4 linked regions of the Struthio camelus genome follow. The protein of the gene in region 1 interacts with the protein of each later gene in a pairwise test. Links are inferred from orthologs where the notes say so. Each region holds a gene or a part of one and is shown in the gene's direction. Other genes may lie near its edges.

What was found.
Region 2: the proteins of CKS1B (region 1) and ARID5A interact in binary tests that used the Homo sapiens proteins (3 or more experiments, as listed by UniProt). The two-hybrid records come from large-scale screens. The link is inferred for Struthio camelus from reciprocal best matches to the Homo sapiens genes CKS1B and ARID5A.
Region 3: the proteins of CKS1B (region 1) and SEPTIN3 interact in binary tests that used the Homo sapiens proteins (3 or more experiments, as listed by UniProt). The two-hybrid records come from large-scale screens. The link is inferred for Struthio camelus from reciprocal best matches to the Homo sapiens genes CKS1B and SEPTIN3.
Region 4: the proteins of CKS1B (region 1) and CBY2 interact in binary tests that used the Homo sapiens proteins (3 or more experiments, as listed by UniProt). The two-hybrid records come from large-scale screens. The link is inferred for Struthio camelus from reciprocal best matches to the Homo sapiens genes CKS1B and CBY2.

What each region holds. Positions count from the first base shown.
Region 1 is NC_090971.1:4,300,409-4,306,591, reverse strand, and holds CKS1B (cyclin-dependent kinases regulatory subunit 1), read left to right. Parts: upstream 1-4,234; 5' UTR 4,235-4,351; coding exon 4,352-4,410; intron 4,411-4,961; coding exon 4,962-5,089; intron 5,090-5,187; coding exon 5,188-5,240; 3' UTR 5,241-5,656; downstream 5,657-6,183. Other genes in the region: uncharacterized protein, read left to right, coding at 1-78, 224-778.
Region 2 is NC_090968.1:1,207,623-1,214,667, forward strand, and holds the start of ARID5A (AT-rich interactive domain-containing protein 5A), read left to right. Parts: upstream 1-4,037; 5' UTR 4,038-4,245; intron 4,246-6,700; 5' UTR 6,701-6,750; coding exon 6,751-6,837; intron 6,838-7,045. Other genes in the region: STE20-like serine/threonine-protein kinase, read right to left, coding at 787-1,353. UniProt on the Homo sapiens protein: DNA-binding protein that may regulate transcription and act as a repressor by binding to AT-rich stretches in the promoter region of target genes.
Region 3 is NC_090942.1:56,466,578-56,473,444, reverse strand, and holds the start of SEPTIN3 (neuronal-specific septin-3), read left to right. Parts: upstream 1-3,839; 5' UTR 3,840-3,938; coding exon 3,939-4,029; intron 4,030-4,761; coding exon 4,762-4,902; intron 4,903-6,867. UniProt on the Homo sapiens protein: Filament-forming cytoskeletal GTPase. May play a role in cytokinesis.
Region 4 is NC_090942.1:191,153,381-191,159,697, forward strand, and holds CBY2 (protein chibby homolog 2), read left to right. Parts: upstream 1-4,528; 5' UTR 4,529-4,779; coding exon 4,780-5,796; downstream 5,797-6,317.

The sequences.
Region 1 (6,183 bases):
ACGGCCCTGCTGGCCTGCGCAAAGCTCGCAGCTCAGCCGACCTCGCTACGGAGCGCAGACCACATCCCCAGCACGTCGGTGAGAAACAAACCTCCCTCCTGCCCTGCCACAGCCGGAGGCTCAGACAGCTCCCGGGAAGCGCGGGGTGATCCGGGGGCCTGCAGGAGGGAGCACGTCTCCCGTCTAGCCCAGGATGGCACAGCAGAGGCTGTTCTTTCCGCAGGCGCCGAGCAGAGCGGCTCCGCTCCGGGCCCCTGCTGCCGGGCCAGCGCCTGACATCCTCCCAGGAAACACAAACTCAGGAGCTGAGTCAGATTTGGAACACGCGAGTGGTTTGGCAAGAAATCGCGCAGAGCAGAAAGGCGCAGGCAGCTGCGTGCACAGAGAAACACGCGCAGGCAGGCAACCGCTGCATGTCCGCACCTCGCCGGGCGTACGCGGCGCTCGCGCAGCGAGGGCGCGCACAGGCCGGTGGGAGGCTGAGGGAGCTCCCACTCGGTCTGCGCTGCCTGCCTGTTCCCCCACGCAGGGCCTGCCGCAGCCGGCCAGCCGGTGCTTCGGGGCCAGCAACGAGCAGAGAACGCAAGATCCAGCTCTGTGCCAGCAGCTCTTCCTCCGGAGCTGCCCCGCACGCCCCCAGGACACGCAGCGCCTTGGGCAGCACACGCGGTGGAGGCAGACATCCCTTCCCGTCCCAAGGCACGGGGAGCAAAGCAAAGAGATACGCTGGCGGTCACCCAGCAGCTGGGTTTTTCCCCAAACAGTGCAGGAAGAGTAGTCATCGCTACAACATCACTTGGCATCTACACATTGCTGCGTGCAACCTCCTCTTCCTCCTCCGCAGCCCTGAACGTCGCTCCCAGAGGGGCAGGAAGGGCTGCAAGCCTGCAAAGCCGCGGCTCGGCAGTCAGCAACAGCACTCCGGAGAGGAGGCACCGCAGACTCCTCGGAAGAGAGGCAGGGAGAAGCCAGCGGAGACCAGGAGAGGAGGCTGGGGCCCTGCCAGCAAAGGGAGAGAGGAGGCACGATCCGTCACCAAAGCCACCTAGCCCTCCACCGAAGTCCCGAGAGCTGGCCGGCCTTACCACGTACTCCATCGCCGCGGGAGGGCAGGGCAGGCCCCAGGCAGGGAACAGAAACACACAGCCCCTCTCGTCTGGCAGACCAACCTGCGGTTCAGGGACAAACAGGGAGTTAGGCGGCCCTGCCCCCAGACTGCCGGGGAAGCGGCCCTCACACCAAGAGGCAGACCCTGCAGCTTCTGGCTGACAGCATGCAGAAAGGGGCTGTGACAGCCGACAGACAGAGGAGACAGCCCTGCAGCGCTGCCAGCCCGCGGGAGCGGGACACCCGGGGAGAGCCTCCTCCTTCCCGACGGCCTGTGCCCCAGCACCGGGTGGGAGGACGTGCGACACCGTCCTGAGGAGCGCAAGAGCGGGGATGCTCTGGGGCCCCTCTTGCCTAGGGCAAGAGCACGAGGCCGACCCAGAGCGGGTCGGGGACAGACCGAGTACTGCTCAGAACCGGGCAAACGGTGTCAGGGGCTGTCTGCCCGCCGAGCGGGGCAGCAACACAAGCAACAGAGGCAGAGAACACCTCGCCTTCAGACCGAGGCAAGCACTGGAGCCGATCCCTGCCCCAGGCAGCCGCCAGGCCCCAGTAAACAGCGCCTGGAGGCCAACACGCCCCAGGAGCAAAGGCAGAGAGCGGAGGCGGTCCGGAACGGTGGAGCTCCCCACTCCTTCCCATGGGCCAAGCACTGAGTCACCCCCTTTGCTGGCATCCCCACTTTGAAAGGATGCCTCAAGCCCTCACGGTGCAGCCACCTCCTCCTCAGGAAGCGGTACAAAAGGAGCAGGGACACAGCCGTTGCCCCAGGCTCCGCAGGAGACCACAAAACAGAGCCTGGTGCTAGGAAGGAGCACTGGAAAGCAGCTACAAAAGGGGAGACGTGTGCAGAGCAAGGAGGGGCAGGAAGCTCAGGGAGAGGGGGGGCAGCAGCTAAGGTAAAGCCAGGCAAGAGGAGCAGGAGCAGCTCGCTGGGAGCCCCTGCCCTTCCCCGCTCTGCTCCCACCCCCACGGCACAGCAGACGTGGTTGGCTCGAGAACGTGCCAGCCAAGCAGAGCAGGGAAGCAAACATGATTTACTTCCTTGTAGCAATTGTGCCCTTATCTGGGGCCTGCAAAGCCAGCGCTGGAGCCCAGGCGGGAGCTAACGTGATTAGACCAGGAGGCAGCGAGATAAGGAAGGCCCCTTTGGCAAGCGCAGCGTCGCAGACCTGCCCTGGGCAGGGCCTGGCTGCAAGCACCCGGCCAGGTCACTCACCGCGAAGGAAATGCAATAACAAGGCCTTTGTATTCCAGGAGCCAAGATTAGCGGCGGGGTCTGGCGGAGGGGGGGGGGGGTGCGGGAAGGCGAGGAGGAAGGCGGCCTCACCGCAACTGGGGGGCAACGCAAGGCTAAGAGGAAGGGAGGGAGCTTGACCCAAACAGCAGGCCCAGGGGGACACAGTAGCCCTCAGACACAGGGCAGCACAGCGCCCGGCTGGCAAAGACCACCGTGCCTGCCCAGCCGCAGGAGCCTACTTCAGCCTAGCCGAGCCAAGAGCCCCCATGAGGGCTCCCAAACAGCAGCCACCACACCACAGCATGAACGAGGAAGAGCTCCCAGGCGCAGGGAAAGAGCCGCTAAGGGAGGGCATCGCCCCACCATGCTGGTTGAGCAACGCGCGGGGAGGCCCAAAGTCTCCCAGGAAGGCCGCGGCAAGATCAGGACAAGACACCACGTCACCCGGCTCCCAGCCGGAGTCCATCCTGCCTCCAGCCTCACAGAAGCAGGCCTGCCAAGACTCTTGGATGCCTAGTTGCACACCTGAGGTGACACACGGGCACCCAAGTCCGTCAACTGAGGATGAAACATTGCCCCGCGCAGCTCCCAGGAGCGCAGGCTCTCTTGCGGCACAGGGTGTCCAGTGCGCAGGCCAGGAGCAGGCTGGCCAGCCCACAGAGCTCCTCCGAAAAGGCTGCCAGGGGAGCAGCAGACCCTAGGCATGGCCAAGTAGAGCTGCAGGTTCCTAGGACGGTTCCTGCTAAGTTGGGAACAGACAGCATCTCCTACAAACCACGTGCGCCTTGGAAACGGGTCAAGCCTGGGACATCTCTGCGGAGCGCTCCAGACCAGAGCCGTCCTTCGCACAACCCTATTAACCCATGGCGCAGGACCAGGGTCGCCTCTCCTCAGAGCTCGAGTCCGCCAACGCAGCGCGGCGCGCACGGCGGTTCACCCGAGCCGGCCCGGCGCTGGGCACCGGGGCACCCCCGCGACCTAACTACAGGCGCTCGACCGCGGGGACAGACGCAAGGCAGAACAACGCCGCCGGGCACCGCCGCGGGGGGCCGAGGCAAAGGCCCTGCAAGGAGGGATGTCAACCCCAGCGCGGAAGAGCTGGGTCCGCTCCGGCCACCTGCCAGGCGCGGCGGGAGGGCTGCGCCCCAGGCGCTCGGGGGGCCGAAGACCCCCCCCCGTGACAGCGCCTCGGGCTCGGGGGGCGGACGGGGTTTTGGCGCAGCGTCGTTCCGGCCGGTCTTCGGGCCCGGTGCTGGCGGCAGCCCCTGGCGGCCCGGCCGCCGGAGGGACCGGCGCACGGCAGGCCCCAGCGGGAGCGGCCCTCGAGCGACAAAACGGGGCGCCGAAGCCGCCTGAGAGACGCCGGGAGCCTCCTGCTCGCACGGCCCCGGCGCCGCCGCCTCTAACGGGTCCGGTCCCGGTTCCCCCCCCCCCCCCGCCATCCCCGCGCCTCCGGGGCCTCCAGGCCGCTGCCCTGCACCGAGCGCCCCGGCGTCCTCCGCGGGCCGGGCCCCGCGCTCACCGGGGCACCATGGGTCTCGCGCCGGGCTCCTCCGCTGCCGGCGGCCGCGGCTCCGCCACCGCCTCGCGCCCCCCTCCTCCTCCTCCTGCCTCCGTCCGCCGCCGCCGCCGCCACTCGCTTCCGGCCCCGCGCCCTCCAGCGCGGCCTCACCGCGCCCCCGTCACGTGACGCCGCTGCTACCGCCGCGACCGCGGCCACCCGGCCCGCGAGGCCGAGGCGCCCGCCGAGCCAATGAGAGCGCGGCGGCCCCGCCTGGCCGCGCGGGCTCCAGCCAACCCGCTCGCGCGCCGCCGCGTGACGCGCGGCCCGCCCCGCGGCCGGGGCCAATAGGCGCGCGGGGCGGCGGCGTTTGAAAGCGCCATTGCGGGGGGGGGGGGGGGAAGGGAGCTCCAACGGCCCGGGCGGTGCGGTGAGGAGAGGAGTGGGGCGGGCGGGGGCTGCCGGGAAGGGGGCGGACCGCACCGGGCCGCAACGCGGGCGTCATGGCGCACAAACAGATCTACTACTCCGATAAGTACGACGACGAGGAGTTCGAGTACCGGTGAGGCGGGGGGGCCGGGCCCGGGTCGCTGTGAGGGAAGGCCCAGGCCGGGGGGGGGTTGTCCCGGTACCGGGTCGCTGTGAGGGAAGGCCCAGGCTGGGGGGGGGGGTGTCCCGGTACCGGGTCGCTGTGAGGGAAGGCCCAGGCTGGGGGGGGGGTTGTCCCGGTACCGGGTCGCTGTGAGGGAAGGCCCAGGTGGGGGGGGAGTGTCCTGGTACCGTGTGGCTGTGAGGGAAGGCCCCAACTGGGGAAGGGGTTGTCCCAGTAGCAGGTCATCATGAGGGAGAGGCCTGAGGGGGTGCCCGGTACCGGCTCCCCGGGAAGGAAGGCCCGAGGAGGTGGGGGGCGGTCGCGTTACCGGGTCGCTGGGAGAAAGGCTGAAGGAAAGCACCGGGTCACGGCAGGGCGGGGGGGGGCCCTGGCACCGGGTGCCTGGCAGAGAATCAGGGGGTGTCCTGGTGCGGGGTCCCGTGAGGGACGCTAGGGCAAGGGGTCCCGGTATCGGGTCCCCGGTGGAGGCATCGCCTGGCTGAGCATCTCTGGCACGCCAGGCATGTCATGCTGCCCAAGGACATCGCCAAGCTGGTGCCCAAGACGCACCTGATGTCGGAGTCGGAGTGGAGGAACCTGGGCGTGCAGCAGAGCCAGGGATGGGTCCACTACATGATCCACGAGCCAGGTGAGCCGTGCTCTGGCCGTGGGCACAGCCGACCCCCGGCAGGGGTGTGAGGGGAGGCTGACGTTGTCCGTAACGTGCTCTATTCATCCTTCCCGCAGAGCCTCACATCCTGCTGTTCCGAAGGCCACTGCCAAAGAAGCCGGAAAAGTGAGCGTCTGTGGACTGGGGCTGTACATAGACCTCCCTCCCCTACCTGTCTGAGTCTCTCTCTAAAAAAGCACCTTTTCCTTCTTTCCTGTGGCTCCTACAACTCTGAGAAGCGTATCCACACACGACCGTGCTCGGAGATATCCGCGGGCGTGGCTGGTGGCAAAGACTCTGCTGCGTGCCCCATCCCCGTGTGAGCGCCCCGCTGCGCAGGAGCAGGCGGCTGTTTCTGCAGGATGCCCGAGGCCGGCTGGAAGGGCCCGAGCTGGCAGTTACTCAGATGGGCACCGGCAGCGCCGCCTGGGCACGTAACGGCAGCCGCTTGTCCCCGGGCCGGCGCCGCTCCTGCAGGCGTTTCTCTGCTGCGACACCTGAGTCCCTGCTGCGACACCTGAGCTTCAATAAAAAGGACGTTTCGGAGTTCTCTGTCTGCCTTTGCTCCTCGGGGGTGCTGGCAGGAGTCTGGGGGGCTCCTGGTGTCTTGGGGGGTGGGTCTGGGGGGCTCCCGGTGTCCCAGCGTGGGTCTTGGGGGCTCCCGGCGTCCCGGGGGGTGGGTCTGGGGGCTCCCCGTGTCCCAGGGCAGCCCCACGGTGGGTCCTGGTGGTGCCCGGGGTTTCCAGGTAGGCTGGGGGAGGTCCTGGGAGGGCTCCCGGGGTCCTGGTTGGCCCCGCGGGGGGCTCCGGGGCGCTCCCGGGGTCCCCGTTTGCCCCAGGGCTCCCGGTGTTACCGGGGCCCTTCGCCCGTGCCACCGCCCCCTGCCGGCCGGGCGAGCCCACGGCCACGGAGGGGGGCGCAGTCCCCCCCTTCGGCCGCAATGGTTCAGTCTGCGCGGCCACCTGCTTCCTGGCCAACCGGCGCTCTCGTCGCGCCGTGACGGGCATCCCTCCCGACCAACCGAGAGCGAGAGGGCGGAGTCCTCCCCTGAGCCGGCGGCCAATGAGCTGAAG
Region 2 (7,045 bases), on another chromosome or scaffold:
GGTGCCACAAGTGCACCGACCACGCCAGGGCTCTGCACGATGGGCCCCAGAGCCGGAAGGCGGCTGCTGCTGGGGCGCCGCGGGCCCCGGGGAGCAGCACGGCGGGTTTCCTGTTGAGCTCAGCCTCTGCATCGCGGTTGTGGTGACAACAAGAGATTAAAAAACAGCCCTGTCTCAAACTCACGGCAAAACGAAGGATGTAAACGTTCCTGCTGTGCCCGGCTCTGGGATCTCCTGCTGAAAAAAGAGGGGAGGGGACAAACCCCAACCAACCTCATGCAGAAACACCCCAGGGAACGGTCCTTCCTGCCACCCATTTGCACCCTGGAAAGGGACCGTTCCCGATTGCCCTGTGCCCGAGGAGCTGCTTGACCCCGGGAAAGCGGTGGCTCTTTCGGTGCCAGCGAACAGGACTAAGGCAGCCGCCGGCTGCATCCCAAGGCCACGGGGGTCCCCAGCGTCCCCATCGTGTGCCCTCTCCCTCCCAGCAAAGGGAGCCACTAAAAACCCAAGGCAATTTGGAGGCTTTCCAGCTTATCACAGCGCGTGCTGGATGCTGTTCGATGACCGTCACTTATAAGGCTATAAGGTGGCACTGACCACGGCTGCAGGGGAGAAAAAAGGAAGCATTTAGGGTGCCATTTCCAAAACAAAGTCCTGCAGGCATTTTCTGAAGCTCTTTCCCAGGAGAACGGGCTTGATCCGTGGCCGGACTGCCGGGAAGCCTGCGCCGAGCTGCGATGCCGGCGGCACCGGGCCGCTCGCCCTTCGCTCCCCGTCGCCTACCTTGAAGACCTTGCCGAAGGCGCCGTCGCCCAACTCGCCCAGCACCAGCCACGCGTCCTCAGGGTTGACGTCCCGCCTGACATGCTGGTAGCGCCTTGGCTTCTTCTTCTCCGTGCCCAAGCGGAAAAGTCGCCGGAAGAAAGCCATGGGGCAAGGTGTTTTTAGGGGGAAAGAGATGAGCTGGGGCAGGCTGCCACCTCCATCCAGGGAGGACGGGGACCTCCTGGGGCGGCCGGGAACCTCTCGCTCTTCCTGCCTCGCTCGCGCAGGAAGCGGGCTCGGCGGCGGTGGCCACGGGGGCCGGCTCGAACAGGGCTGCGCAGGATGTGCCGGGGAGGAGAGGCGTGTCAGAGGTGCCGCTGCGAGCCCGGGTGCCGCAGAGGTGCCCGTGCAGATGGTCTGGCCTTGCTCAGCATGAGCAGGAGGCTTCTGGCTCGGTGCATGCTCCAGGGAGCAGCCCAAAAGCCCTAAAAGGGATTTATTCCCGCAAACACCCACTAAGTTGTCCCCTCGCCAAGCCGATGCGCTGGGCGAGTGCAGCATGCATGCACACGTGTGCACATGCATGCACGCCGGGGTCCCCAGCAGGGCTGGCTCGGCAGCGGACACAGCCAGGCATGGCTGCAGCCAGGCAGGAGACCAGCACCCTCCAGCACAGCTAAATAGAGGCTAAAAGCCTCCAGCTGAGCTTAAATAGAGCCCCTGCACCCATGGGTGCAGGTGAAGCTTTAGGTGAGGCTGCTCAGGGCTGTTAAAGCTTATTTGTGCCCCCAGGACCTAAGTACAGGGATATAGTTTATGGTTTTCTTTTCATAATACATAGTTAGACATGCAGTTTAAAATAAAGCATTGTATTTATACCTAAACCCAGATGCATCGGGCAGCATTTACCCATGTAGGGAGGTGTCTGCGTACGGCTTTGCTCTTGTCATCACCTCGCGAGAGACCCGGTTGCTTCCCCCTCCGTCAGCCCGGCCAGCCGAGGCATCGCTGGGGCGAGGAGCCGTCGGCTTGACTGCGCCTTGCGGCCTTCTCTCTCTGCCCAGTAGCGGGGGGGGGAAAAATCACTGCAGGGGGAAATTCAGCCGGATCGACCGGGACCGGACCTGCACCCACCAGGGAGGTTACGTCCTGGCGCTGCGGCTCGGGCGAGCGGACCCATCGGGGAGCCGGGTTGCACCTCTCCGTCGGCTCATCAGCCACTGTTATAGCAGTGCGGCCTCGAATCTTCACGAGCCGGCCTGGCTCGCTGCCACGTGCGCTCAGGCACATCCCGGGGCTTTCCGACCACCCGCCTTTCTTTTTTCTTTTTTTTCCTTTCTCTCCTCCTCGGTAGGTCCTGGCTGCAGGCTTGCCCTGGAGCTGCCTCTCACACCCTCAGCACCAAAAATAAGGTGCTGCTGGCCGCAAGCCCGCGTGCCAGGATGGAGCAGCCGGAGACCCTGCAGCATCACAGGATAATCGAGGCTGCAGAGGCTTTAGGACGTCGCTAGTCTGAGCTCAAAGCAGCCTTGGATGCGATGTGAGACCAGACTGATCCTGCACCACCGAGTGCCTCTGGCAGATTCAGGGTTTGGGGGAATTTAGGCCAGCCCTGTTCTTTCCTTGCCTGCTGAGGTGGCTCTTTCCTCCATGAAAAACAGCCCATTTCTCTGGCCAGCTTTCAGAGGAGTGGGATGAAACCACCGTGCGGCCCGGAGCCTGCCGCAAAGCAGCGGGTCTCTGCCTGTTTTACACATTGGCTGAGCACTGCCCCCTTTCAGCACACCAATGACAGAGCCAGACTTAGCCTGACTGCTGCCTAACCAAAGTATATTGAGCTCAGTAACTCACATTCCCTAAAGCAGGTCTTCCAGAAAGAGGCCATGCAAAGACACGGAGAAAACACATTTTTGGGAGGGACCTTCCTATCCCTCATGGTCCAAAGCAAGGACGCGTCTTCCCAAAGGGGTTGGCGCCCACCCTGCGGGTGCTTGACTCCCCACAGGCCTCAAATGCAATTTATTTCCAGCCTGACACTGTCCTCTAGTGGCATGCGGGCAACAAAAGGGAATTTATTATAGTGTCCGGCCGGGTGGGAAGAAAAACTATAAAACCCTCCTGCCCAGCTGGATGCGGCTCCTTGTGCCCTGCCGGGAGGAGCAGGAGGGAGGAAAGCGGCAGGGAGCCGGTCGGTGCGCTTTGTGCTAGGGGAAACCGAGGCTGAGCTTTTGTACAAATCGATATTGCCCGATCTCACCGTCCCTTGAAGAATTTCCCAGCCCGGGAGGACCCGGAGGCTGTTTACTGGCGGGATTTCTCTTTCTCGCTCTGACTGGCAGCTCTGAGTCAGGCCTCGCGGGCGCGCTTTCCGGTAACGAAAGGGTTAACGCCGCCGTCGGAAACACCTCGCCACTCATCTCTGCCCTGCGCGGCGCCCGGTTTCAGCATCGGGGCCCGTCGGGGCCCGTCGGGGCACCCCTCAACCCCGCCGGCTCCCGCTGCCCCCCCCCCCCCCGCCCGCCGCCGGCGGCTCGAGGTTTTCCCACGGCGCCCCGCCGCGCACCCGCGGAGCCGGCGAGCGCAGCCGCCGCGTCCCCCCCGCCCCGTCCCCGCGTCCCTCTGTCCCGCCGCTTCTGCTTCCTCCGCGCCCCCGGCTGCCGGGTCCGGGATGACTCACGGGGGATTTTTTTTGGGGCTCTTTCGCAGCTCCGGCGCAAGGCGGAGGGGGATTCTGCGAGCCCGGCCGGGAGCTCGGACCTGGCCACGTCCCCTGCCCCCCCCCCCCCGACACTGGGGACACTGGGGACACTGGGCGCCGCGGCCAGCCCCGGGCACGGATGCTCTGGCCGCGGATAAGTCCATCTCCGCTCCGAATGGCCGGTTTGAGATGATTTTCTTGCCAGCGCCCGGCGGCGCTGCCTCGGGATAATCCAGCCGTCCAAAGCGAAACAAAAAGGGATTGATTAAAAAAAAAGAAAAAGGAAAAGCAATGTGCAAGCGAGAGGTGCTGAAGGGTCAGGATGACCCCGCTGCCCGCCGCAGCCGCGCTCCCGGCCCGGCCCCGGCGGCAGCCCCGCTCCGGCAGCGCGTCCCCGCGGGGCACCGGGACCGGAGCGGCCGCGGCCACGGACCCGGCCGGGGCACCGGGCCGGGAGCAGCCGGGCCGGGGTGGGGGGGAACCGCGCTGGAAATCCCTGCACACTCATTCAGCGAGGCAGCGGGCTCCCCGCCGGCGAGAGCCCCAAAAAGTCCGGGCGTTCCGGTAACGAAAGAGTCAATCGCGCACATGTACACACACACGCACACACACACACACACACACACGCGCGCACACACACACACACACACGCCACTTCCCTGAGTGGGGGATGACTCATCCCCCAGCCCTTCATCCCCGATAGAAGTAACACAAGCAAACCACAGCGCTCTTCCTCCGGCCTCGCCGATGCACCGCCCGCCGCTCGCCCGCTGAAGCCGGTGAGTTCGGGCGACCCGGGGCCGGGCAGAGGGGGGAGGAATTTCGCGATGGCGACCGGACCGGGAAAGCTTCGGGATGCTACCGGGAAGGATTTCGGGATACGACTTGACGGCAGGCTTCAGCCCCGCTAGAGCGCTTCCCCCCCCCCCCGCCCCCAACACCCCGCGCAGCTGAGGCCCGACACACTCAGCGCACGCACGGAGCGGCAGTGCTGCCTGAGTGCGGGGACGGGACGAGGACGGCACGAACCTTTCCGGGGGTGGCGGAAACGGGTCTTTTTACTCTATAAGGGTGGGGGGGTCCCGAACAGCACCCCCCCCCCGGGGCTCCAGCACCCGGGTCCGGACAAAGCCGTCTCCGGGGCGGGCTGGAGCCGCCGGGGCCGGGGCCGGGGCCGGAGCTGGGACCGGGGCCGGGACCGGGGCCGGAGCCGGGGCCGGGACCGGGGCAGCGGCGGCGCCCGCCGCCCGGGCCGCGCTGGCTGATGTAAGGCGGTATTTTAATTCTCTTACAAGGAGCGGGCTTTAGAGGAATGACTTAAGTGGATTACTCATCCGCTGTAATGACTTGGCAGCGCTCCCGTGCTATTCCTAGACATGACGCTCAAAGCTTTGATTCTTCCTCTTCTGCTGCTTTTTTTTTTTTACTTTATTTTTTGTTCCCCTACTTTTCTTTCTTTTTTTTTTCTTTTTTTTTTTTTTTGCTCTCTTTCTAACGAGAAATTACCCCGCTGCGTTTTTTCGCAAAAGCCGCGCGGCGCCCTGGGAAACGTAGTGCGCTGCCGGGAAGCGCCGAGCCCAGCGGGTCCAAGGCCTGGACGAGGAGGGGAGAATAGCAGAATCTGCCTGAAAAAAATGCTGCAAAAAAGCCAGTTTGGGTCCGGGTCCCCCCCGGGACCCTCCTGGCCCCTTTCCCAGGAGGCGAGGTCCCGCCGCCCAGTTCAGGCCCGGCGGGCTCGGGTGAGCCGCTGGGCGCTTGGGCAAGGCGGCGCTGCAAAGCCTCGGTTTTTTCCCACCGCTTTGAGCGGTTTACCCAAAATTGCCGCTTTTCCCCTAGCATGCGGCGCCCTGGCCCTCCCCCGACCCCCCCTCAAAGGGTGCGTTGGGGCCACTGCTCCCGTTTCCTGCTCTTTCGCAGCAATAACCAGAAAGAGAGGAAATAACGTCAGCCGTTCTTTTAATTCTTCGCACTGACAGTAAGCCGGCACTGCACCAAATCCGAGCCGGCGAAATCACAGCGCAGCAAACTGCCTCACCCCGGCACCCACCCCCTTTAAAACCCCCTTTTTTTTGGAGGAGGGGGTTTAAAACTCAGTTTTGGGGGCCGAAAGCAGTGGCCGGTTAGAGGTGGCTGAGCACAAAACGATGCCCGGCGCACACCCCGACCTGCGGGCGCTCGTGTATGCGCAGCCCCCCCACGCCGCCCCGTGCACGCGCGGCCGCAGGTGCACGCACATGCGCCCGCACGCACACCCATAGTAGGCACACATGCACCTTGTCCGCACCCGTGTGCACGCATGCACGCCCACCGAGGGGGGGGGGCCCCCACGCACATGCTTGCACATGCATGCACCTGCTTGCACACACATGCACCTGCTTGCACACGTGTGTACCCGCTTGCACATGCATGCACCTGCTTGCACACACGTGTACCTGCTTGCACACGCGTGCACCCACTTGCACATGCATGTACCCACTTGCACACGCACGCCCCCCCCCCCCGGCCATGCACACCCCTGAATGCGCGCGCCCACATTTGCACGCCCCTGCGTCCTCCCCTCCCCACCCCACCGGGAGGAGGATTTTGGGGGGGGGGGTGCAGCCAGCAGGACTACAACTCCCAGCATGCCCTTCGCCAGGGAGGGAGAGGCGTGCCCCGGCGGGGGGGGACGGGCGGCGGCGCGCTCCAATAGGAGAGGGGGGGCGTGGCGGCGCCGCCCAATGGGAGGCCGGGGCGGTGGGCGCGGCGCGCCGGGGGTGTCACATGGCGCGGGCGCGGCGGCGGGTGAGCGGCGCCGGTACCGGATCGCACCGGAGGGGAAGGGGGGGGTCCGGCTACCCCCTTCCTCCCTCCACACAGCCCCCAGGGGTCGACCCTACCGGAGCAGGCGCTGCCTCAGTTTCCCTAGGGTGAAAAACCAAATTTCCCAATTTGCCCAAATTTCTTTGGAAAAAAAAAAAAAGTGATTTTTTTTTTTTGGTAAAACTGGAAAATTTGCAGCAGGGGAGCCCCGCCGGGGAAAAGGGGGGGGGGGTCAGGCTGACTCTTTTCCCACGCCGCGGGATCACCCGCCAGGCACCGAAATCGGCCGTCCGGCCGATTTCGGTGCCTGGCGGGTGATCCCGCGGCCCGAATAATCCCCGTTAATTCATTTTTTTTTTTCCCCACCGCATTTTGGTTCGTTGTCTCATTTCACCCACTTTTCCCACCCGCCCCCCCACCCCGCCACCGCAGCCCCCCCGCCCCGGCCCGAACGGCGAGCGGACGGAGGGCAGCCGGCCCGCATGGAGGAGGCCAGCCAAACCCAGCCGGCCTCGCCGGAGGAGGACAAACCCAAAACCGAGAGAAACGAAGCCATCGTGGAGCCACCGGTGAGTCCCCCCAGGAGGGGAAAAAAATATATATATATAGATCAAAAAATATATATATAAAAACAAAAAAATCCGCAAAAAAACGGAGGTTTCACCGGCGGCGTCGACGCTGCCGGCCCGCCCTGCCGCCTGCTGAAAAAAAAAAAAAAACCCGGGTGTTTTTTTTGGGGAGGGGGGGTTGGCGCGGGCCCGGCCGTTCAAAACGCCG
Region 3 (6,867 bases), on another chromosome or scaffold:
CTGCCCTCGGGCTCTGCCCCGCCGGCTGCCCTCGCCAAGGGCCGCGGGGGCGCCCGGCCCGGCACCGCCGAGCCGAGCCCCGTCCCCCCGGCCTCCAGGCCCCCGCCGCGGGCTGCGGCCAACGGCCCGGCGCTGACCAAACGCAGCTCCCTCTTGGTGACCCTCCGCCGCAGCGCCTGGGCGACCCCCCGGGACCGGCAGCGCCTCGCGGCCGGCCGGGAAGTGCCGATCCCTGGCGAGATGGCGGCAGCGGGGCCGCGGCCCCAGCCCTTCCCCGCCTTGGCCCCCTCGCCCCGCCGGCCGCCCCTGGGTGGTGGAGAAAGGCCGGCCGGGGCCGAGGGGCCGAGCGGTGCCCCGCCGCCCCGGGGGGAGACGCCCGTGGCAGTGCTTCGCCCGCACCCCGACACCCAGAGGGGCTCGGCCCCCGTCACCCCCATCCTCCCTCGGCCGCGGCGCGACCACCCCGGCGGTGCAGAGACGGCGGCGGCGAAGACGCCAGGCACCGGGCTGCAAGCGAGCGCCGGCGGAGGGAGCGCGGGGAGCACCGGTGGGTCCCCTCGGCCCGGCCGGCGCGTGAGTCCGAGGCGGGGGCGCGAGGGCGCGGGGGTGTTCCCCCCGCGAGAGCGTGCGAGGGGACGGGGTGGGGGTGAAGGCGATTCCTCTGCCTCGGAAATGTCTCCCCTCGGCATCTGGGTCACGCTGGACAACCACCGGCGCCTGTGGATAAACAGCAGGTGAAAGGTGAGCCAAATACTCCGTGATGCCGACGTTTTGAGGAGAAACACCTGGTGGTTGTGACGGGTCAGAAGCTGCTGTGAGGGCGGCGGGTGCCTCTATCCACCCGTTTGCTAAAGGCAGCTGGCTTTTCAGACTGTCCCGAGCAGCTTCTCAGTACGGAGGGTGATTTCTGAATGCCCCCGTAACCCACAGTAGATACAGCTTTCTTTTTCCCTGTTGGAAAAGGAGGTGTTCAAAACTCTCCATGAGAAATAAGCCTACTGGGCGCCCCGCAGCCGGGCCCCCGCCGATGGGACGGCCGCACCGCAGAGGGACACGTGGGGACGTCCCTGAAAGGCCTGGGCAGGCCAGTCTGGGTGCATGGACGAGTCCTAAAAAGAAAACGCCGCTGACCCGCTGAGGTGGCGATGTGCCGGACGCTGCCTTTGCGCCACCGAGCCGTAGGTCGGATCTGGCCCAGATAGACGCGCTGGGGATGCAGGTGGCTGTCGCTGTGGGGCTGCTGGTCCTGGGGGAGCCGAGCCGCACACGGGATAATCCTGGGACCTGCGGATAATCCCCTGAGAGGAAGCAGCGCGGAGGGAGGGCAGCGGAGGGGCGAGCTCGGAGCCTGCCTCGCGTCCCCCCACGTCCCTGTCACCAGGAGAGCCAGCGGCCGTTCCCCACGGCACCCGCTTTGGGCCCGTCCCCGTCACCGGAGCGGAGCGGAGCGCTCCGCGAAAAGAAGGAAACGAGCCAGCAGACTGTAGGAGAAGGAAACACGGAGGGAGGAAGGGGCATCCCCCTCCAGGCACGCCAGCCCCTGGCAGAAATGCAGCCGGGCACATCCGCACAGCTCTGCAGACACAGCAGGCACGTCCACCCTGACACATGCACACGGGCACCGGCAGGCGCAGGTGCCTCCGGGGGCACGCGGAGATGTGATCTGCGCACCCTGACACAACGGCACGCGCCGCCTTGCCCGTGCCGATGCTGCTGACGCGGCCTGCAGACGGCGCCGCTCCCCGCTCCCTACAACGCACACGCGTGCACACACGCGCACACACACAGAGGGGACGGCTGGCACTCTGCCTCTGCACCAGGGGCTGACGGCCAGGAATCATGGTGCCAAAGGAGAAAAGGTTTCTCACGCCTCCACAAGCTGAGCTGAAGGGCAAACTGATTTTGACGAGCTGTCCCCGATTCCCTCTCTTTGGGAAAGCAGAACGAGGCCTCGCAATCCCCTAAACCCAAGAGGTAGATATCTACAGAGAGAGGGAGCAGGATCCCTGGCATTTCTCAGCTCTGCCGGAGCAAAACCGCAAAGGGTTAAATATCCCCCTCCATAAACAAGTGGCTGCATCCAGAGATGCTCTGTGGACAGCAGCATGCCAAACCCCTGGGGAATAGGGAGGGAAAGAGCAAGGAAACATGTGTGCGGTGCGAGACGGCGGGGGGGGAGGGCATGCGTGTGCGTGGGGGGCCCCCCCGGATGCGTGGAGCCCGTCCCTCGTGGCCCCCACAGCCCCGCTGCCCTGCCCACCCAGGCGGGGAGGCTCTCGCAGGCTCTGGGATGGAGCCGGGGCGGGGGGTGGGGGGGAGGGCGCGCGGGGGGGAGATTTTGCAGCGATGTTTAATATTCAGGTCACATGACGATGGCAGCAGGAGCAGCACCAGCATCCCCGCTCAGCTGAAATAGCCACTGGAGAAGGAGGGGAAGGAGAGGGGGGAGAAGAGGACAGGAAAGAAAGAGAGAGGTAAAAGCAGAGCTTCATAGCCCACCGCGCTGCACCAGCGTCAGGCTAGAAAACTGAGGGGGAAACCCACCCCCTTGGGAGAGTAATCGGAGACAAAGGAAGCTTCATGTTCAAAGGTAGGATGCTCTGGGCTTGGCAGGGCTGGGCGATGCTGGAGGGACGCTTGGGCTTTTTGTGCATGCACTCTCCGTGGTACCCCCACGCTGCCAAGCTCGGGTCTTTGGGGGTGAATATCTCCTCCAAAGGGCAGTGGAAGAAATTGGTCCTGGTGTGTGAGGTTTTATTTTTTTTTTCTTCCTATGGTAGCAGTCTGGCATCAAGGAGAAAGAGCAGGGGCGGCTGTGGTGCTGATGCCGGGTAGCTGTCGCCAGGGGCTGCTCTGAAAGAAAGATATAACCCCAGCCGGCCCAGGGCTGGGAAAAGCCCCCAAGCTGCTTTGCAACTGGCTTGTCCCTTACATTGACAAGCTGTCTCCGTCAGGGCAGTGGGAACGTCCTGTGCGACTCCCTGGGCATCTGCTCCAGAGCCAGTGGCAGGCAGGGACCCCCCGGCACCGGCAGGCTGGAGGGCAGAGGGACAGGCAGCTGCAGGGGGACGGGGTGCCCGCGTCCTGGCACCCTCTCGCCTCATGGGACAGCCCTGCTGCCCAGGCTGCGACCCCGGGCTGCGGGGCACGCGGGCAAGGACTGCACGGCGCAGCCCGGTGCGGGCACCAAGGGGGACAGCTTCCTCCTGAGGGGTGCCGAGGCATGGGTGTGGGGAGAGGCATTTGGGGAGGTGGGACACGGGGACATGCTGGGGTGGCCAGCTAGGGAGATGCGGTGATCCCCACTCGGGCAGCAGGCAGCGACTGACCCTGTGGCAGCTGGGCTGAAGACATGCCCAGTCCCCTTCACCTCCAGCTTCTGCATTTCCAGCGAGGCTTCTGCCCTAGATTTCGCTGCAGCCCTGGCAGAGCCGGGCTCCTGCCCAAGCCCTCTGCAGAGTGGTGAGGGCACCCAGTGGAAGGCGGCCTCCAGGAAGGCTGCAGCAGCCCAAAGGGCTGGGATAAGTTTCATGGCCTCACTCAAAACGCCCAGTGGTCCCTAGGCCAGGCAAAAAAGACCTGGTAAAGAAAATACCTGTGTTCTGCATCCTGAGGTGTGGTGGTGTGTCCAGCGCGGTTTGGTCTTTGCAGCATATGGCTGGGAGAAATGCCCTGGGGATCATCATGAGAACGGAGGGGAAGGGAGTTTTCCAGTGGAGAAATGCTTAATCCAGCACCTTTGCAGATGCGAAGCAAGGAGCAGATAGTACTGCCTGCAGGCCACAGGGAGAGCCGTGCTACAGCAGCAGCTGCTTGCTTTCCTAGGGACTTGATGTAACCCGCGTAGGGCCCGCTCCTGCAACTGCGCTCACGCACCCAAGCCTTCCCTCCTTCACGCGTGGCATCGGCAGGGAGCAGGAACACGAGCCCGGGGCCACATGGGTGAAGGGGCTGGAGCGAAACGTGCTTTTGGATCGCTGCCTCCAGCTGGAGCAGGACGGTCTTTTGCCAAACGGGAGGAGACCTCCAGTGAGTCTATTGACATATTACATGGGGGTTAAATAGCCTTTCCTTACTGGAAGCCGGATTCGTTGTGAGCAGACGGTTTCCACCCCTCCCTTCGTGTTGCCACTCAGACAAAGAACGGGAAGGCAGGGGGAGGGGATAAGACTGTATCTAGGTTATCAGGTCCAGTCTGCCCCCAGGATAGGAGTAAACGAAAGTCCCCACCGCCTGAGCCCCGTAATGCAGCTGCAGGGCTACCTCTGTCTCCAGCCAGCTGTTGCGAATGTCAGAGGTGGCGGGGCGGTGTTAACGGTGCGGTGCAGCAGCGGTGTTTGCTGCTGGCCAGGTACGCTGGCCTTCCAGGGAGAGGTTTTGGGGTGGACTGGTGAGTGCCAGAGGTGCTGGCTGGTCCCACTGGTACCTCTCTGAGCACCCATTGCCCCCTCTGGCCCTGCCTGCCCCTGGCCCAGACGCTGCAGCTCTCCCCGCTGCGGGCTAGGATCCGAGCGTAGCGTCTTCTCTGAGCCGGAGGTTATCAGCCAGCAGCCCAGCCTGGGCCTCCTCCTGCTGCGAGCTGGGGAGCAGAGGTGTCACCAACAACCACCCTCTTAAATCAGCCTTTGCTTCGCAGACAGAACAAAGCAGCAGAGAAAAGGGTGGTAATGCAAGCAGCGGACGCTTGTTGTTAACCTTGGCTAACCCCCTATTCATTATAAGCTACATTTACCACAGTGCCCTATCATGTATTTATTACAGGGACAGGGAGCAGTTGGAGGGTCTACAGGACGCGCCTAGGATGCCTGATGCTACTCCTTGACCATTCACTAAGAGCTTTAACGAGGTTTCATGGCAGTGTTAACGTTACTTCATATAAAAGAGGCATTCCCAGCAGACCAGGTAGACACGTTTCCTGCCTCAAGGTGTTTCTCATGCCTCTGGTTCTGCACGCCTTGACCTTGCCTGCATGCCGTTTCCTCAGTTGTCTTCTTGGGTTCCTCCGTGGAAGTCAAGAGGTGGAAAATTACGTGCACAAAGCTGAGCCCCTGGATACCTCTTTGTAAAATGGGGGCTTCCCTTTCGGATGTGGCATGGGGAGAGAGGAAGGCTGGTGAAAGAGGGTACTGTCTGCCCTGAGATTCTGAATATACAAAATCAAACCCCCCTCCCCCCCGAGCCACATCACTGATAGAAAATCCAGGAAATATTTAAGGAGATTTTAGGACTGCTTTTCTCCTGATGTGAGGGCTTTTTGTAGGTGCTTACTTCAGGCCTTTGAGACCTGACACTGAAAAGCCTGCTCTCGCCACTGCAGGCTCCCAGCTCCAGCAGCAAAGCCTGTGAACAAATGGCCAAGTATTGCAAAGTGCACAGCGCAGTTAGCAACATCTGGCATCTCTGGGCAAATTGTCCCTCAGTGCAGTGGGAGTGAGGGACAACTCACAGACCTTCCTGCGAGCCTTGAGGCTGGTTGGTAGCTCCTTTTCTCCTTCCTTCTCCCCATGTAAGAAAAAGGAGTTAAAGGAATAAAGGAGAGGGTAACAGACTCCCCAGGGAGAAGCTACCACCCAGGTAGCAAAGGGATCGCAGCCTGCATGGCCCGGGTCCTGGGCCCATCCCGCTCAGCCCATGCTGTTATCCCCGCAGGGAAGCTGCTCTCTGGGCTTTCTTTTCGCCTTGACCTGTTCCCCTTTTACCTCCAGAGCTTTATTCATCCCCTGTTATCGTAATAGCCAAGTGCTTCACTTCCTTTAATGTACTGATCCTTGTGACTGTCAGAAGGGCTCTTTGGCTGGTGGGAGACGGGAAGGAGGTGGCAAAGACGGCTCAGCAGGGCAGGGATGGGGACCCAAGCCCCTCCTGTGTGGCTTGCTCCTGCAGGACTGGACTGCCTTTCTGTTCCGGCTGCACAGCGAGATAGTCCTCCCTGCAGTGCCGCCAGGCTGCAACCCCCCTGTCCCACATCCTGCCGTTGTTCCCCTGCTCCCTGTCTCAATCTCTACCCTGCTCTGGGGTATGGGGGCCCCAACGCAGGCTGCTCTGGGAAACCCTCCCTCCTCTTACCCCTGCAGCGGAGGGCTGGCACCTTGTGACCAGGAACAGCAAGCAATAGCTGTGCTTGCCCTCAGCCTTTGGTCTCCTCCATAGTCATCCTCACACACTCAGGCCCAGACACCGAAGAGATGCTCAGCACTGGAGGATGCTGTAGCAGGATGAGGGGCCATGGCACAGCCAACGGTACATGTGGTGTAGGGCAGACTGAGAGAAGAGGAGCAAAGGAAAGGATGCAGGAGAGCTGGCTAGGTTGGCCTTCCATGCTCTGCCAGATAGATGGGCTTTCCTGGCTGGCAACAGCTTTGAGAAAGCTGGAAAAAGACAACAGGAGCCTCAGGGGATGCTTTGTCAGCAGGAAAGGCACAGACTAGTTGTGACGTGTGTATGAGCGGATTGCAGCTGAGAAACACTCGGCTCGGCAGGCTGCCTCAACCTGCAGCTCCCCGTTAGCATAAGGAGCTCAGATTTGCCAGCTTGGCTCAGGCCAGCGGTCCATCTTGTACCATGGCCCCTCCAGGCTAATGCTCACTGCTTCAGAAGAAGGTGATGATAGCTCACAGTGCACCTGCTTAGTGGCAAAGAGCAGGTGGGGGACATCCTCTGGGCAGGTCTGTCCCCTGCAGGCAAGGTGAAACAGAGGTGGTATGAAGCCGAGACCCATAGGAAACTACCAGCCGTGCTATGCACAGATGGCTGTGCTGCTATGCTCTTACAGGTGTAAGAGCACTTACTTTCCAAGTGGTGTAAAACAAGCTGCTCTACAGGCACCCTGCTCCTTGCTGAAGGTGGCCCTTCTGCAAGTTCTACCCC
Region 4 (6,317 bases), on another chromosome or scaffold:
TGTGTAAGTAGGATGGGGGACGTGACTTAGGTCTCAATTAATATTTGATTGTGTAGTGAAATAGCTTCACCTGGAGAAACTGAAAAGTCTAAAGCTGTGGACAAAGCGCTCAGCTGGGAAGTTGGTTCAAACCCTTCTCCTGGAGCAGGGGTTATTTGTATCTTGGCAGGGAGGTGAAAATACTCAGCATTATTTCTGCCTTTGTAGTTTTGTGAATGACATCTAAGTTCTTTCGGGAGTCCAGCTCAGAAATCTGCGTAGCCGGTATAAAAAATTCTGCAGTGAACTGTTGCAGCATTTCCAATTTGAATGCATGTCTTCACATACATGAACATGTGTCTGATGCAGGTCACTAAATCTGGCCCAAATACATTAGTATTTGAAGTCACAGTTTTTAGCAAATGAATGATTTGCCTAAAGAACTTTATCCAGCTTTACGGAAAATACTGCGTAGAAAAATTAAGAAAAGGCAACGGTACACTGCTAACTGAGTTCTTGGTAGTTCTGGATTACACGGGCTTTGTCTTCTGATTAGTACTTCACGGTGCTTGTCTCCACTAACTCACTATCCAGTCAGCTCTTAGACCTTAAAACATTCATCTAAGGTCTGTTTTAGTGGCCCACAGTCTCAGTCCTTCAAAAATACAGATGACCCATTTCAAATTGCCATCTTTCCTAAAAACTGCTGCGTCTAGGTAGCACCCTTGAGCTCCCATCTGATGGCAGACTAGGCGCAAACATCCTATGATAAAATATTTTCCTTTGTCCTTTAAGGATACTTTTCTGCTTTCCGTTGCAGGATACCTGAACTTGAAAAGAAGAGAGTGTTCCCTGGGGAGTTACCATAGTAACCTGTGATGTTCCTGTGTTGTCTGAGATTAAAAAAAAGCAAGGGAGAAATTACAGAGAAGAATTTTATACCTGAGTTTATCATCTTTGCATAACACCAAAGCTGAACTGCGTCTGCAACTTCCTAGAACAATAACACTCACCTTGGGGCTGATATCAGGTGGGTAATGTTCATTGGAAAAGAAATTAAGAGCGCTATTTATTATTCAAGAATCTTGATTAGAAAAAAAATTTATTCTACATCTTAAAGATGTAGTGAATAACAAAGAAAATGAGATCATTAGAAACGCAAAGATGTAGAAGTGAGAATAGCTGCTACAAATAACGTCTAAACTTACAATGCATGGATGCCCTGCATATTCTGTTTTCTTCTTAATAGGGTTCAGTGATACTCTCCTTTTAAACATATAGTCAAAGAAAAACTCCAGACTCAAATTCTCTTTGCAAAGTGACTTCAGGTCTCACAGTGCACGCATGGAGGTTATTTTTGAGCATCAGTACCAATTCAGCAGCAAACATAATTTGAATATTCTGAATAAAAACAAAAAATGTTTTAAAAGAATGTGATAGAAGAACAATCTATTTAAACTGCTCTCAGTTATGAGCATCAAAGATAGAGGGAAGTCTGGGTTCAGGAAAGGGCTTGAGAGCTGAGATACAGAAAGGTCATTTCCGTGAAAGATAACCCAACTGTGCATTGCTGGGGAAAATCAAGGACAAAAGAGCAAAAAGTGAGTTGTGGGAAGGCGGTATCTGCGTGCATCCGACTCTCCGTCAGGGGATGCTTGCCGCCCTTACCCCCACCCCGGTGCGTGGTGACTGCTGGTCGTGTCACAGTCCGGCGCCTTTGTTCCTTGTTACATACCATGCATGTGAGCTGGCACTGGCGGGACCAGGCAGGGAACCAGCTAGGAGGAGGAGAAGCTGGGGCAATCTTGAGCCTCTTGCCTCAAATCAAAAAAGCAGCTAGAAACAGGGCTGTTTGGCAAGAGCGCAGGGAAAGGGAACACGACCGACTTTTGTAAGCAGGTGAGTATGTGTCAATGCTTCATTTACTACGGCTGAATTACCTAGCTCAGCCTGATTTTGTGCAGCTTCCCTCAAAAAAATTGTCCTTCCTGCCCATCTCAGTTCCCCAGCCTTTTTACGGGATTATTTAGTTCAGAAATACTTGAAAATGATAACAGAGCCTGAGAGAACTTGAAATGCCTCTGTGAAGCGTGGGTCAATATCTTTACTGCAGTGCAAAAGAGCTGACAGAGATGCTGTCAAGTTTAATTGTCCCCAAGATAATGTCCTTCAATACCGAATATATTAAATGTTTCTGTTTGTCCTGAAAACATGCCATATAAACACTTTAAATATAAGTGATTTTAACAGCTCTAGCCACCTACCCAAGCCACTCACTGGCAGGTGTGTCTTGGCTCACAATACCTATATTTTCTGTTTCTTATTTGGATATTTAGGGGCGTCTGGGGTCATTCTCTCCTTGGCTGACTTTCCTTTCAGCCCTGGGGTTGATGGTGCAAACATCTGATGAAAACCTAGGCCTGCAAAATCGCAGGAGCCATGTCAGGGAGTGTTTTGGGAGACATGTTCGCCACCCTTCTTCCCGCAGAGGGGTGCAGAGCTCCCAGAGCATGAAAGCGGACATCGGGCAAGTTGGAATGGCTGTGGAGGAGTGTAAGAGGGAAAAATACACAGTTGAAAGCACAACACAAGTGGAAAAAATGAACTTTGAAATTGCAAGGTTGTTGCATACTGTGGGAAATCCTTTTTAGCAGAGCAATATAATGAAAACGCTAGTTTGATGTGAGATAAAACATACAGTGATGCAGAAGACAACCTTGAGAGCTAGACTGAGACCCTACCACAACAAACTCTACCACATATTATTGCAACAAACCTATATTGCAACTCCCTCCAAAACTCACTCTCGCTTTAAGGGTTTGGGGATTTAAAGTACCACCAACAATTTTCTGAATTTTTGGATAAACTTGGGAAGGAGGAGGAGAAGGAAGTAGTTATGTGATGCTGGCTTTCAGGAGCCAAATGGAGCTAGGAGAAACAATACAACAGGAAGCAGCATGGTAGACAGTGCAGAGGGGTGGGAAAGAGCAGTGGAGAAGACTTTGTGGACAGGAAAGACCATGGCAGGACAGAGGTGCTGGGAGACAATGTCATGAAAGAGCTGGAAGAGATGAGGAGTTGGTGAGTTACATTTCCCAGTGTCAACAGCACGCCTAACACTTTATGGAAAGGTATGGAGATGAAGTTTGTGAAGGTAAAATTCTCCTCACCAGCTGAACAGGTAGAATTGGATTTCATAAGGGACAGTAAGGCAGCTGGAGGAATTCAAGGAGGAAGAGGGTAGATCTAGGTGAAATTTGACAGCCAACCTCTTTTTTCTAATTAGAAGAAGGCACATTGCAGAGATTTAGCTTTAAAAAAAAATACATACACACAAGACATTCAAACAAGTTTATTATAAAAAACAGTTTAACCTCATCTCATCTTGAAAATTTCATGTATTTTATTTTTACGGGAACACATTTTATTTTGATGAGAACTGCAGAAAATAAGACTTTCTTTGGCATAAAACTTATCTGGCATTTTGTGTTCATGAAAACACACTGAATTCCTTCATTTCTCCAAGTTTAGTTATGACTAGAAGGTGATTTGGCCAGGAGCATTTTGGGCAGAACAAACAGAGAAAGGATATTGAACAGATGAGTCTGAGTTTTCTGCAATTGAAATGAGAAGAATTGGAGGTACAACTTAGCAGGATGGATTTTGAAGTGATAAGTTTTCTGGTGATGTGAGAAAGAGGCAGAACAACTGTAAAAAAAGCGATGACACATTGCTATTGCAAACCTAGAATGTGAGAGACGTAATGGAGCTATCAAAGAATACAAAGATAAGAGAAACTGTGGAGAAATGAGAAGGAAAGATGGAGAATTATGTATGGAGTGCGACAGTGTTTGGAACGTGCTGATAGGAACTTGTCAGAAGAATACGTGAAGAGCAATAGAGCTCTTCCAGTCCCGATGGCGCAGTGCTGTGGTTTAGATTTTTAATTATCTGTGCACACTATATCATTCTGTGTTCTTCCTATTGATGGTGCTGTCAATTTTAAGATTAAAAAACACGGCTGCCATCATATTTTTGTGGCCTCTTGTTAGCAAAGGTTACTGAGCATCCACTGGAAAAAGCTGCTCTTAGGGCCAGTTTCAAAAGTAATGACATTTTTTCATCCTTTAAAAATGTCTTACTAGGCATCTTTGAAAACTTGTCTCCAGCCCCATAATTTATTTTAATTAATTAATTTATTCTCTATCCTCGGAGATATTCAAAAGCTGTCTGGACACAGTCCTGGGCAGCTTGCTCTGGGTGACCCTGCTTGAGCAGGGGGGTTAGACTGGATGATATCCAGAGGTCCCTTCCACCCTCAGCCATCCTGTGATTCTGGTATTCGTTTACCTGTTGGTCAGCAAGGAAAGGACAATTCTGAGGTGTTCTTACATCTTAACTCTTTACATGTCTGTAAAAATGAGGTAGAGGGATAAAAGGAGAGTCAAGGTTTTTGCATAAAAGCTCGTGGTGTTGCCATAGCACTGGTAAATCTACTAGTGCCAGTATTCTCAGATTTTATGAACTATGTTTCTGGTGTATTCCCTACCTTCCAGTGTCAAGGAGGCAACACAGTTGATTGTGGGAACTTACTTCTTTGCTAGTTTCTGTTATCTAATGTAATTTAATTTGGACCTTGAATTTTGGTAATAATTCCGTGCATTTATGTTCCCTTTTCTATCAGTCCTGATAAAGCTTCTCCAAAACCCCTGTGTCATTTACCAACGGAGAGTGGCCTCTCGTGGAAGTCCTGGAGAAAGTGTTTTCACACAGACTTACTCAGTTTACTAAAGAAAACCCATGTCTGCTTGTGATCTGATGAACCACAACATGCAATGCACAAGGACTGACATAGATTGTACCACCCCACGAGTGAAACTGAGTGATGAGACATTTATCTTTATTGATGGCAAATGGGTGAACGAAATTTACCATCAGCCACCCTTTGCTTCCCACGAGAAGCACTTCAGCAAGAAGACACAGAGTGAATGGAGCATCTGGGAGGAGAATAGAGCACTCCTGGAGGAAAACAAAGTTCTCCGTATTGAAAACAGCATGCTGCAGGAAGAAAACAAGGCTCTTCGGTGCCTCCAGGCGCAGAATAAGACTGTCAAGGTCATTTATGATGACACTATTCATCAGGGCCTCCAGAAGGAAAAGAGGTCATTCCCAATCTTCCCAGACAGCAACATAGGCTTTCAGATCAGCCAAGATAACAAAGCTCTTCAGATTGTCCGGGGAAAGAACAGAGCTTTAGAGATCTTCCGGCAGCAGAATAAAGCTTTCCCCATCATTTGGAAAAACAAAAAAGCCATTGCAGTCCATGAAGAGAGCAAAGACACAAGCTCAGTTCTTCAGAAAGACACTCAAACTATCACAGATCCAGAAGAAGGTAACCCTGATCTAGCCCCCCAGCAGGAACACGAAGTGGGGAGCTCCAATCCAACCCAGAATGAGAAGAGTGCCCCAGCCATGCAGGGTGAGTATCCAATTGGCCAGGCCATCCAGAACTTATACCAAGCCCTCCAGGTCTTCCTGAAAGAGGACTATATTCCCTCTGGAGAGAAAAACTCCCTGAAAGAGGACTATGCTCCCTCTGGAGAGAAAAAGGACATTCAGATTCTCCAGGAGGAGAACAAAGTCTTCCAAGAAGAGAACAATAAATTGAGACTGCAGTTGAATGCCGTGAAAAACACTGTGTCAGATATTACAGCTCAAATGGAAATGCTGCAAAAAGAGCTCAGTGCCATCACTTCCCCAGTGTTCGAAGAAGCAGGACAAATACTGGCAAGTGAATATCAGCTTGGAGACATGTGAAACTTGCAGCTAAACCTGCTGGTTCAATTTCCTGTAAAGCACCTCTCCTTGTTTCAAGGAACTCAATAAAATCCCAGTGGAATCTGAAGAAAAAAACCAGCTGGTGAACATTGTGTTATTCTGAAACTTTCTTGTATCACTTGGATGCGTTTCCCCTTCTGATAACATGGGAGTGGGCAACTGTCATGAATTTGCCTAGTCCCAGAAAAACATGCTTTTCGGCATATTTTAAAAGTTTCTAATAATAAGGCTACATTTTCAACAGATAGCTCATGCTTTTCTCACTTAATCTGAGGTACCTTGGAACGGCCATATTTACCAGAGGGATAGGCACTTTCTGAAAACCAGGATTCCAACTGGGAGCTGAGTTTGGAGCCCTGTTGGTCCCTTTCTTTTGATGCCAAGCTCAGTGGCTGAACTATGTCTTCTGCGATGCACCAGCCTTACCTTTCTCACGTAGGCTAAGCAATGAATCATGGGAAATGTGGCCTCACGGAGGAGACAGGCCCATCGAAGAGAAC